Arabidopsis thaliana: one gene and its partner. The protein of the gene in region 2 interacts with the protein of the main gene of each other region in a pairwise test. Each region holds a gene or a part of one and is shown on either strand. Other genes may lie near its edges.

Evidence for each region.
Region 1: the proteins of SIP4 (region 2) and MYB49 interact in a two-hybrid assay, tested with the Arabidopsis thaliana proteins (one large-scale study listed by BioGRID).

The regions. Positions count from the first base shown.
Region 1 is NC_003076.8:22,014,597-22,021,593, forward strand, and holds MYB49 (myb domain protein 49), read right to left. Parts: upstream 3,466-6,997; 5' UTR 3,250-3,465; coding exon 3,117-3,249; intron 2,920-3,116; coding exon 2,790-2,919; intron 2,458-2,789; coding exon 1,761-2,457; 3' UTR 1,547-1,760; downstream 1-1,546.
Region 2 is NC_003071.7:12,934,808-12,941,855, forward strand, and holds SIP4 (SOS3-interacting protein 4), read right to left. Parts: upstream 4,028-7,048; 5' UTR 3,766-4,027; coding exon 2,458-3,765; 3' UTR 2,172-2,457; downstream 1-2,171. Other genes in the region: AT2G30350 (Excinuclease ABC, C subunit, N-terminal), read right to left, coding at 1-123, 208-341, 464-602, 796-935; CHAL (allergen-like protein), read right to left, coding at 5,770-6,015, 6,469-6,644, 6,955-7,047.

The sequences.
Region 1 (6,997 bases), on a different chromosome or scaffold from region 2:
TTGTTTTTCATGCAATTTGTTAGTTTTATCTTAGTTTACTTTGTTTTGTATCTTTGGTGTGTAACAAGTTACTCCTCGTAGATTCGATTACAATCGTGCTACAAAGGCATTTCATCATGCATATGCGATATAACGTAGCTGATTGGCTTTGCGAATTTGAGAAACTTAAGGCCCAGCTCAGTTTAAACCTGTTGTAAGAAACAAAATTGTTGTGTTTGAGATTTATTATCTAGTCTTGTCATTTGGATCGACAAACGCAGACCCATATCCAAATTCTATTATATATAATAACACAACTTGTTGAAGTCAAACTTAGGATAGAAAGAAATCAAGATTTTTTTATCTTCCTTTGAAATGTGGGCAGGTTACTACATTGCCAAAGACTACACAATAATGGTCAATTGGCTTGTATAGTTAAAAAAAAAACGAAAATAATGGAAATAACTATGAGTTAATAGTTAATTAGTTATGACTCGTATGGCCAAACGACCATGTCATGTAACTACAAATAGACTTAATAGCGTGCAGAGAGATTTGTGTGATGAAGAAATACAAAGGAGGTTCTTGTGTTCCCTATGGAATTCTCTTTGTTTTCCAAAATTGTTGTTGTAAAAACTAACTAATTATTACTTATAAATTCTCTCCCCAGTAATATACACATTTTTTCTCATACAATATCTATAAGTACAAGTATATAATTTATTTATTTCATATCATTGCATGATTTTATTGTATTTTTATGGCCGCAAGGTTCAATGAATGGTTAGGCGTATGTATTTTTTTTTCCAATAATCCAAGAGACTAGAATGGACCACATATTTATAAAATACTATGATGTGTATGTCTCTATACACATACATAAGTGTCATTCAGTCAATTACAGAATTTCAAAGTAGCATCTAGCTACTACTTAATTTATGTTATAGTTGATAGTAGCTATTTTTGATATATCTCATCTCACTGTATGAACAGTTTTATAACTTGGGTTTGGTGTTTCGAACAACGTTGACTATATATTTTCTATTTTAATCTTTCATACACATTTTCTCATAGTGGATAACTATTTAAATCTTCCTTTTAGGTGTATTACTATTTATTTGTGCTGATTTCAAACCAATCATAAGGGAAAACAAGTCGATTATTTCTTTTTTCTTGTATTATGAAATTGAAAACTCCCCTTTATGAGTCTATGACCAATTAAATATAATCACTATTGTCTCCTGCTCCACCAAATGTGTTCTTAATCATCAAAATCAAGATGGTGCAAATAGAATAATAAAACTATAACACCAGAAAATTTTCGTACAAGTTGAAGACCTTTTAGGTATAACGAATGGAAAGTTCTTCGAATTGGAAAATAAGAACAATTAGTGGAAGAAAATGCACAAGAAATCCAAGATTAAGAATACACTTAACTCTTAAAATACTAAGTATGTACGTAACACACTTATCAACCATCTTATGACCTTTTGAGAGTCGACTAATGTAAAGTTCTTCGAAGCAGAAAAAACAATTAGTAGAAGAACAAAGTCAAGATAAAGGTACACTAGCTGTTATCCTCTTAGGTTTTATAACTTTTTTAAGTGTAAACAAATAGAAACCTTTTCGGATCAAAAAAAGTAGAACAAAAAAAAAAAAAAGAGTCAACATAATAATAGACTAAGCTCTTATATTACAAAGTATGTAACACAATTACAAACCCCCATTAAAAAAAAGTAAAAATAAAACAAATAAGATCAAGAAGCAAAATAAATAAGACATTATGATAGATTCAAAGCATTATTATTATGATCATGATGATGATGAAACATCAACATGTCGCTACCAAAACTCTCTCTATCATCTTCGCTTCCACCATTGACATAAAAAGTCGAAGACGAATTCAACGGTGTCGAGCTGCTCGATGAAGTTCCCGCTAGCATTGATGAACTGAAATTCCATCCGGCCTTAAAATTCTCACCATCATTAATGTGGTCGGATACAAATGCGGCTGATGAGTAGTTTCCGGCTTGAGGGACTTTGTTATTAGATGGATCACCTGTACCGGTATAACTGTGATAATCTCCCAAGTATTCTCCATTGTTTTGCCATTGAACGGGTGGTGTTGAGTTGAGCAAACCGGTGAAAGTGGTTTGGTCAGTGTTTAGGTCGTTTTGAAGCTGTTGGTTTGGTTGGTATGATTCGGTCTGAACGTTGTTGAGAGAGGCAGTGAGATGATTCAAGATATCAGGATTAATATTTGAAGTAGTGAGATCAAATGGAGTATTCATCGGTTGTGACATAGATTTAAACAATGATGAGGTAAGAAACGAAGAGAGCTGGAGAAGATTAATGCGGGGACAATGAGTCACCGGATCAATCCCCATTCGTAAGAGTTTCTTTTTAATATGTGTGTTCCAATAGTTTTTGATTTCATTATCTGTTCTTCCTGGTAAGTGAATAGCAATTGCGGACCATCTATAGAAGAAAAAATATCGTGTTATAGATTTTAAGTTAAAATCAAAAAGAGAAGTATAAGTTTTAACTTGTTAAGATATTAGCTGCAGCGAGTTGAAGATTGCATGCTTAGCTTTAGACATTTGACCTTGGTATAGTGCTTAACTATGTTCTTGTCTTTTAGTTGAATAAAATAAAATATGCAAGTAATATTATAACAAAAATGTAAAGACATGGAAGTCCAATGAAGTAGGTGTAGTAGTGGAAAACTAGGTCATTTTTTACTTAATTTAATCATACATGTAAACAATTATACACTAAATGAAGAAATGAAAAATTGCAGATAGACTAACTTGTTTCCAAGAAGACGATGAAGTTGAATGATGGTTTCTTCCTCTTGAAGAGAGAACTCTCCTCTCTTGATATCGGGTCTTAGATAATTCGTCCATCGCAATCTACAACTCTTCCCGCATCTTTTTAACCCTTTTAAGATTCACACCAAGAAAAACGAATAAGAACCATGATTGTTTTAATTTTAATTCTAACGTTGACATGATCTAGCATGATAATCATTATTAGTAAATTTTAAACATAAACGTAAAACAAAACGCAGGAAAACATATTGTAGCTGATAGGATTTAGCTATTTGTATATATACATGCGTTAGGGTAGGAATTTACCGGCGTTCTTGGGAAGGGTACGCCATTTGCCGGGACCGTGCGTTTGAATATAGCCTACGAGCTTCTCGTCTTCCTCCGGAGTCCATGGCCCTTTCTTCACTTCACTTTCCTCCGAGCTTGAAGATTTTCCCATCTTTTTCAAATGTTATATGTGAGAGAACTAGAGAGAGAAGCTAATAAGCTTTGAGAACTTGATTACAGAGAAAATTTGGTTTCTTCATGAATTATGATTTATGTATATACAAATATATATATGGTACATGCAAAGTCAAGTCAAGGAGATTTGGTACCGCCCTTCCATCATCTATCTAAATACGTGTCTTTTCTTGATGAAATACGGAGACAAAATGAAGTAGAAAAAAACTGCTTATTATGTTGACAAAACAAAAGAGTAATTTTTACTCTCTATCTTTAAAGTCCTTACTAACAAACAAAAAGCTCTGACCAAAGAAAAAAAGTAATAAACAAAAAGCATGAGACTAAACCATCTCTATTAACCCTAAAAATAATTAATATTGATGGAGTGAGAACACATGGCAGAATATGGGTGGTGTATGAGGACGTGTGATAGATATGTGAAGAAGGTTCCATTTGTTTTGGTCTCTTTGTCTCAAATCATCAAACAGTTTTCAAGATAGCTATGTTGCGTGTATGTTTAATGTTTACTCATCTGTCATCACTATAGCAATATCATATACATAAATAGACAGATTCAAAATAAGAATTTTATTGAATAAGGTGTGGTTACAGTGATTATACTGAATAAATATGCTTATTTAGCCTTCTAAGTTTTGTATACAAATAATTTCTCTTCTAAGGAGAAAATAAAAAGGAAATATGTAAAGAATGATTACGATAGTGTAAAAAAGTAAAAACAATAAAAATCCAAACGGATCTCCAGTGTGCTTCATCGGTTGGAAATAGATATATATCATCGTGTCATCAAATTTCAGTAGCAAAGCTAGATTGTCCTGCTTGAATTAAGACATCCGATCGAAGTGACTCAGTTTGAGTAACGTCCTGCATCGCACCAGAGTTTCTGTTTACTTCAATAACAATTACATAACGACAAGTTTGAATAACTGATAATCTAAGACATGTATTTTGTTTTTACTAAGTTAGGTAAATTAACGACAAAGCGTTGTTGCAGTGCAACATACGTAAAGAACAAGGCATGTTAACGGTCAAAATACATGTGTGATTAATGAAACAATACTATATAATATACATGTGTCATTGAATTGCAGAGACTTTGGTCTCAGTCCGAAACATGGTTGATTTGACAAGTCAGGGATTTGAAATTTTTTGATTTGATATTTGTAAGAAATTATTACTATTTTAGTTAAATTTGGTTAGTATAAGTTTTAGATTATTTGGAAAACAAGTTATCGGCCGGTTTAAGAGTGATTATATAGAAAGGTTTGGTATTAGAGAAGAATGATAAAGTGACTTTTTAAATTAGGAGAATGACCAATTTATCATTGTTTAGTGCATAGGCGTATTTGACAAGTAACCCCTTGCTCTTGTTACATGTTAAATATTATTGTGTCATATAAAGAGGTAAAATTAATTCTACACTTTATGCGGTATAGCCGTATAAAACATGTTAGGTTGATAATAAACAAGTTATCATAACGTTTTCAACAAGTGCCAAAAATATAAACTTACACTAACACTAAACCGTATATATCGTTTTTTTTAATATAATATTATTTCTATAACATCGATATATCTAGTAAATAGTTATTTTGCGTCCATATAATTCATATTTTTCGTTATATAACAATGAAATGAGTGTTTTTCCACGGTATAGAATATTTTACATGTAAACTTTAAATCATATCATTGTCTCACAGGGAATTGATTCATGAAGGTAAATTTTGTGATGCATGTTTTAAAAATAAAAGACTGCTTTATCAAAAAAAAAAGTAGACCCTTTAACAAAGAAAAAAAGATCCTGCCAAAAATGAATAATGATAATTAGTTATTAAGACGACAAGAAAATTCAGATAATGTGGTCAAATATTTAATTTCTCAACTAAAAGGAAATACAATACATTGTTATTGGTAGATTATGTTATTGCCTGGTTTATCTACAACAATCCCAACAACCCAATCGTCTTAGTAACATTAAAATAATCGCTGTCACAGGAAATTTTGATGAACTCAAGCCTCGTTTCAGATTTATCAGTTTTCTTATAACTTTGCATCTACCAATTATGCAAGTCTTTTCATAAACTAATCTATCGATTATGTAAGTCTTTTCATAAACTAATCTATCGATTATGCAAGTCTTTTCATAAACTAATCTATCGATTATTTAAGTCTTCCGCATGTAAATTCGTTAATCAGCTACCATCTTCATTTTAGTTTGGTATAAGAAGTTATTTATACTGTATGATCTAAATTACATTTAAATATTAAGGGTTATTTTTTCTTTTTTCCGAATGAAGTTCTATTATTGTTTAAGACTTTCACGCCTCTAAGGCCGATGGCCGACCATAGAGACAAAGACATGGACTGAAACTAATGATCGAAATCACCTTGCTCATTTATCTTTCCAATTTCTTTTATATAAACAAATTATAAACAAACACACACAAAATAAACAGACGTAACTTAACCTTTAATTCTTATTTTTAAGAAACAATGACGTAACGATTTAGCAAAAAACACCTAACCTTAGATTTCATGGTGTATAATATATCCACGACGCCTTGAACACGTACAAGTGTGGTAGCAAGCACTAGCAACATAGTAAACTAAAAAAAAATTGCCAGCAGCATAGTAAACTAATTATTCTCTTGGATTTTTCTCATATTCGGATATATAGCATATTTTTTAACTTATCTTAAAATCAAAGTTAGGATTAATTAAAAAAAAAAAATCAGTAACATCATCTTTATTTTAGTTTAACCTCATAATACGAATACCTTAGCAAAAACTATTAGTAGTTATAAATGTCCCAAAACAATTTTGTCATAAATGTCCAATTATGTGTACTGGTTTTTTGACTCTTTAAAAAAAAAAAAATTGTTGTCTTTTGATTTCTGCCCCTTTATTGATGTTATATCCTATGCTTATTTTTTTTTTTTTTTTTATTTTTTTTTTATTTTTTTTTTTTTTGTCACAAATCCTATGCTTTGTTTTCTTTATCTTTCTTGGCATATATTCAACAAACAAACAAAATAGTCTAGAGACTATAGACTATAGACCACAGACTATAGAGAGACACCATATCCAAATTAATTGAACGAGTCATCTATATATACATTTTTGCAGCCATTTTAGCAAATAAATCCTAGACTTTGATTTATTTACAATCTAATGCCATTAGCATTAAATCTTTTTTCTAAAATAATTAATTTTACTTTAAATTTTTGATTTAAATTGTCAATCACATTATCAATCAAATTTAATCCCACCAAACTTCAAATCAATCCCTTAAAATTAGCATAAACATATTTGTTAACAATATTTTAAAACAAAATTTTTTGTTAAATAAATATTATTCTTACTTAACGTTTTTTGTTTAAATAAATAAATTTTGTATTTGAACTTATTTACAATGTCATGTCACTGACATTAATTAATTATTAATGAAAATATTTAATTAAAGATTTAAATCTTTTAAATCCTTGCTTTTAGAGTTATTATGTCATTACCTTATAAGCAAAAATATTAACTTTTTAAATATTATTATTTATATATTTAAAATTGATAAAACATTATTAATATTTAAACTTATAAAAAGTTTGATATATTACAAATTTTTAACATCATTATATAATATATAGAGTTTAAAAAAATCTTAATTTTTTCCATCATATTGTATGATTCAATATTTTTAAAATGAACATATATTAACCAATTAGCAAAAC
Region 2 (7,048 bases):
TTTGTGAAATACTGAAGATCCTCCATAGCACAAACTTGAACTTTCATATGTAAAGGTAAACTTGGAGATTTACCACCGTGGTGTGCATACTTTGACGAGAAATAATTAACCGTGAGGTTCAAACTGATCAACAAGACACAAAGAGACATATAAGTTATAAGAAAATGGATACCAAAGCATAGCAACAACAACAAGAAGCTTCCTTACCTATTCCAAGCTGGAAGATTTAACATTGTATATACAAGCTTGATCTTACTAGCAACCCCAGAGAAGGATTTGAAAGCCGCAGCAGCTTCTCTAACTGCAACCGATTCTCTCGGATGCTGCCAAGCCCATTCAAACTGCAAAAAGGTTTTTTTTACGTTAGCAAAACATTCAAGAGCGAGGCCACAACTGGAGAACAAAAGAAGTAAAAACAGAATCTTTTGGCAAGGAATCTTTTGCTTTAGGGTAGCAAAAGGACCTGAAGGGCAGAGACATTGGTGGGGAAACCATAGATACAGAGAACCATTTCCCATGGACGTTTCTTCTTTGTTCTCCAAGCACCACTAGTGATCTCTCCATTGTGCTGCCTTATTCTCCGCCTCGGGTTTACAGTGAACCTACCAACCAAACCCAGTTTATGCAATCAATCACTAAACATCTCATAGTCTGATTATTAAACACTCAAAATCTCCTATTTGATCAAATTTAAGTATTCAATCAGATAAACCCAGAAAATGTAAATCCTTTCTCAATCGAATTTGATCCAACAGAATCTTCAATTCCAAAATCAGAGATGAGAGAAACAAGTACCCGATATAGGTTTGACCCTTATGACGAGGGCTAAGAGAGGTCAAGAGATAACAGGCGAAGAAGCCTTTTCCATCTTTTCCGGTGACTCCATCCTCACCGACGGGATCTAGGGCTTTCCGATTTCCCCTTTTCTCTCTCATATCTCTTGGATTCAATTCGACCGTTGAAGACGACAGATTATTACACTAAAAAATCCGTTTTATCTCTTAAGGATGAGAATGGGCCGAAATGTATGATTAAGGCCCACTGTATTCAATGACCCAATTTTATAATGGCCCAATTTTTTATAATTCATTTCCTATACTGTATTTTGTTTTACTTGGTTCACATGACATTGTTACCCATCATGATAGTGATACCGTGATAGGTCTCCTATTGATTTTAGAGCTTATAAAATTTGCTCACTTATGTCAAATTTTACCGCAACTAAAATTTCAGCTTTCAAATAATCTCTCCTCATATTATATCCTCTTTTTCTTTTTACTTTTCAGATACAATAAATGATGGTTTTCAATTTTGAGTTTGTCTCTAATAAAGAATTTATTCTTAACTTTGGTTTAGTAGAGTTTTTGGTTTTTATTTTAGCTATATAGTAAACTTTGATTTCAGAGAGTTTGGTACAATAATATTTTTATGAGGAAATCACCCAAGTGAATAAAGAGAGTTTAGATATAGTCAAGAATATTCAATAAGCATTCTACTTTCCTAATTCACACCAAACAACCTAATTTGCCAGAGTTTTTCCATTTGCACCTAAAACCAAAAGGTGGGCAGAAACTATGGTGAGATGATATTAATTAAAATTTTAAATTGGCCAAACAAATGATGAGAAGAATAACAAAAGGCTGGTGCTTATGATGATGCTTTAATAATGATAATGATTCCTTAACCTTCACTCGTTTTGAGTTGTAATATCCAATCAAGTAGACAATAATAGCTTTTCTTTTTATAAAGCTGCAGATTTCAATTTTTGAAGTTCCCTGATTCTATACATACTTTTTAATGCTTTTTCTTCACTGGATGTGGAACTCCCATTTCAATCATTTCATTTGTTCAATAATACATTACACAAAGTTTTTCTTTCAAAAATGCTTTCAATTCTATACATAAATATTAAAGTGAAGAAGCCATATTTGATAAGCAGAAAAATGTATAGAATTGAAAGCCTTTTTGAAAAAAAAAAAAATGTGTAATGTATGGATTTTTGAGAGTTTAGATGAGTTTATGCGATTTAGAGATTATTTTATTTTAGTAATTTATCTACTTTTTATTTTCAATTCATTGGTTATTAATCTGATTTGGTTATCATGCACTTTAACTTAATACAATTTGCATGGTTGATTTTAAAAAGTAGTTATGTACAAATGTGTAAAATTGGAAAATCCAAACTATAAATAGAAGAACATTTTCTACATTATACAAAAGAGTGAAGTATCTACAAATGCAATTTTAGACTTGTTGTTGTACATAGTAACACATTGATCAAAAAGCACAAAATAGATACCTACAATTTGGTACAGTATTTAAATACATACATTAATTTTTATTATTTTTTCTCTGTTTTTAATTCCGAAACAAAAGTAGTAGAAACCAAATCCAACCAACGAAACGCGATTGGCGTTTTAAAATTGAAAGCACGGTAGAAAACTTCATAGCGTTCTTTTAAATAGCCGCGTTTGTTGACGACGTCTGATCGCAAACGCGAATAAGTTGAACCCTGAGTTTACCATTCCACATCTCCTTATAACAATCACCATCACCACCTCTCCGCCGTGCCTCCACCACCACAAGCAAATCATTCAACCGCGAAATACAAATCCCGATACCAAATTTCCCATTTTGCCCCTCCATCTCAAACCCATACTCTTCCTCCTTCTTCTTCTTCATCCTCAGATTCTCCTCTCTCGCAAACCCCTCCACTTCCTCCGCCAACATCTCCGGCGACTTTTCCGATAAAAACCTCTCCGATTCACCACTCGAATTACTACAACCAGCAAACAATCCCGACAAATCCAATCCCGACGAGTAAGAAATCAAATCAAACGCGTTTAAACTCTTCACAGCTTCTAGTGACGATTCCACTTTCTGATCTTCGATCTCGTCATCGTGGAACTTGATCTGTTTAAAACCTCCTCTAACAAACCAAGGATCTTTCAAAATCTCATCAATGGTGATTCTAGTCTCAGGATTAATATCTAAAAGACGAGAAACGAATCGTTTCAGATCTGGAGACATCCAACGAGGAAAACGATACTCTCCTTTATAAATCTTCTTATACATATTCATCACATTCGGATCGTTAAACGGTAAATAACCGGCGACGAGAACGAACAAGACGATTCCACAAGACCATACATCAACTTTAGCACCTTCATATCCTTTTTTAGATAGAATCTCCGGCGCAACGTACGCCGGAGTACCACACAAGGTATGTAACAACCCATCGGGTCGGATCTGATCCGTTAACGCGCTTAGACCGAAATCGGAAACTTTTAAGTTTCCGTTTTCGTCTATTAATAGATTCTCTGGTTTGAGATCGCGGTGGTAAACACCGCGAGCGTGGCAATAACCAACGGCGGAGATCAGTTGCTGGAAATATCTCCGGCTTAAATCTTCGCTAAGACGTCCATGTTTTGAGATTTTGTTGAATAGTTCTCCTCCTTTAACAAACTCCATTGCGAAGAAGATCTTTGATTTTGTCGCCATTACTTCGTGGAGCTTGACGATGTTTGGATGAGATAATCTTCTCATGATTGAGATCTCGCGTTTGATGTTGTTGGCTAGAGCTGGATTTGTGAGGAGTTTTTTCTTGTTGAGGATTTTCACGGCGACGCTTTGGCCGGTACGACGATCACGTGCGTGGAAGACTTTGGCGAATGCGCCGCATCCGAGAAGCTTTCCGAGCTCATATTTACCGAATAAGGCGTCGTTGTTGTCGCCGCTGCCGGCGGCAATCTCGATCTCTGGCATGATTGATGAATCCAGAGATTGATTGATGAATAAGAAAACTTCGCCGGAGAATTTGAATCTGTTTCGTTTGCGCGTAATGCAGATGTGATGAACACGTAAGCTAATTCTTCTTCTCTTTTTTTTTTTTTGGTTTTGTTGTGAATTTACTTTTTATGGAATAAGAAATTTGAAAGAAAGTGGTTTAGGTATTTAAATGGTGGAGAAGTGATGGCGTAACGCGGAAGCTTTTAAAAAGATAAGTTCGATAGAATAATAATGGATTAAGGGTATAAAGGAATTAGAGTTGCCTAAAAAAGGAGTTTAACTGAAGCACTATTATATGTAACCGTTACAGAATTTGTTTGTTGTCAATTAAAAAAATAAAATGTTAAAGTTTTTTTAACCCAAATTTTATATATGTGAAGCAGTGAAGGTTTACTGTTATAATTAACTGACACAACTACCTGAGCACACAATCCATCTATTCAACACATGAAGCCAAATTTAGCCGATAATGTAATTGATAGTCTTCACATAAAGCAACTGTTCTTGAGTCGATGCATATGTATATCTAGTTCCTTAAATCATATAGTTTTTTCATTTTGTACAATCGATCTACAGACTACAGTGTACACCTAATTATTACGTGGTTTTTGTACTCACTCAATTATTATGTTGTCGATAGTTTCTACTTTATTTCCTCTGCCTACGTGTCATGATCTTATCACTTAACTTACTCTGATCATAACTCTTCTCGTACTTTTTACATCTAAAACTATTCAGAATCTTGTAGTATTATAGTTAGAAGAATGTACATCAATAAATAATTGTTTCGTATATCAGTTATTTGCGTGTCTCATCGTATATGGTTGTTTTTTTATTCAACTCTTAGGTAATGAAGAATTGAAGATAGCGACTTGGTTAGTAACTTATACTAACAAAACATGTTCCACGAGGTAATGGCAGGTGTCTCTCACACACGTGGCAATATCCGAACGGTGGAACAAGTCGACGCGGCGCCGGCTTCAAGCTGGACGGTTCTGGATCGTGGGCCGGCTGTTGAAAAATCGGTGCTGAGATATGTTTCTATTTTATTTTATTTTTTAATAATCGCTGATTGCAGACTAATTATTTCTCTATTGTTTGATCTGATTGACTAATTATTTATCAGTTATAGACTAATAGCCAGGAAATAATAACCTTTGCTCGCGTCGGTAATTTGATTATTTTTCTAACATAGAATAAGAAAGAACTTTGCACCAAAAAAAAAAAAAGGAATAAAGAACATGGGCCGTACCATATTCACATCCTGATTAAACTTTCGTCTTTACATAAAAAACCTTTCAATAAGAAAGAAGAATCAGTCAGTCAATGACTGCGACTTTAAAGAAAAAAAATGACCGCGAGTCTGCGACTTTAAATCCTTCAAACTTTTATATATGGGCTATGTGTGAGTGGTGTAAGGTGTATTTGGATACGTAATACGTTATACGTTAGCATATGTTTTCTTGAATATTATCAGTGTGTACGAATAGATTAAATTGAACGAGCTGAGACTACAGAATTTAAATGAAATCAACGAGTCCCGCAGACAGATGTTAATAGTTTACTTATATGTATATGCTAAGAGTAATGTTATTGGGCTTTTGGTTTATTTATGTTAGTCCATATGTTTATGAGCCTAAACCTATGTGATACTTATTAGAAAGCGAGTACGTTTTTTTATTTTTTGTTCATTATAAGCAAGTACGTTGAAGAAGAAGACAAGAAATATGTTTCCTTTTGACACCAAATGTTGATATTATTCATGAATTATGTCACCATATACGAAATCATATGCTAAGAACGTCATATCGTCTATACGAGCATCATCAATCAATTTATCAGCAAAAGTTTCACGTTGAGGTTGTCCTAGCAACATGTCAATGTATAATAAATATTTGGAGTAGAGGCAAGATATAACTACGAACATGCATATAATTCATATATATAATGTATATATGTGAGTATATATATTATAAAAGATCATGGCATGTACAACTTGTTGCCGCACTTGCATCTCCAAGCTTCCGGGTAGTATTCGGCGGTGACAGGCGTGCCGGGAGGCACCGGAACGTGAACAGGCTTGCACGGAGTGCATCTTCCACACTTGGAGGAGCACCGTGGTGGAGATGAGCCCAATCCCCTTAGAATCCTCCGTAGCTCTGCCTCCTTGCTCCGGTCACCGATCTTCCTAGTCTTCTTTATCACTACGGTACTCTTGCCTTCCTCCTGAACACATACTCAAAACGTACATATTATCACATTTTTCATTACTAAATATATATTCAAACGTATACATATCCTAATTTATTATTTTCTTCATTAGGATAATACATCTAGTAAAACAAACCAAACAATATGGTTAATCAAGAATAATTAGTATTTTCTAATTAACGTTCAATAATTAGTATCTTCTAGTGAACTCAATTTCAGCTGCTATCAACATAAGATAGTGAGAGGACTGCGTTACTAACGTGCGATTTCATGCTGACATACGCATATTATTGTTAAAATGCGCAGTTTAGGTAAAAAACATTTTTAAGACAGGGTTGGGGATGTGAGACAAGACGCGGGAAAACCGCTCCGGAAAAAGCGCTACGCACATTACCAAAAAGGGCAGAGAGATTGAGAAGTTCCAAGAGCCTGTCATACGTTAACGTGCACCGTGGGGGCTAATATTACCACTCGATCGAGATCGTAAGCAAGGCAGGGTCCCACGAGTGGTGAACGAACCAAAAGTTGAGTACTGTCCTTGTCCTCGTGTGCGCTGAAACCAATCCGACGGCTGAGAATTTCTTTAGGAGTACATGGCATCTCTGCATGCCCAGTCAGTCTCGACATGCCGTCACAGTCGCTGACTGTTCAAGCGCAGTTTAGCCACAACCCTTTTGTTTGTGTAGTCCTTTTAGAGAACCCCGCATTATAAGCTTATATTATTTATGGAAAAAAAAAAAAAAGCTTATATTATTTTTAAAGTGTGTTTAATGATGAATCAACATCAATCTTGTCCTCCAAAGATGCTTGAATCAGGAGAAAATAGAAACTAAGCTTTTTTTGGATTTTATGTGGTTATAGTTATGCCAAAAAAAAGGAAGTTAACACGGTTTTTGATTCCTATTTCCTAACTAATTGTTGACTCAACAGCAAAAAAACAAAAACAATTGTTACTTGTTAGATCACGCAAGAGAGTAAGAGGTATAAACAGTTTACGAACCTTTGCATAGAAGTTCCCTAGTGTCCCAGAGTTAGAATTCCTATTATC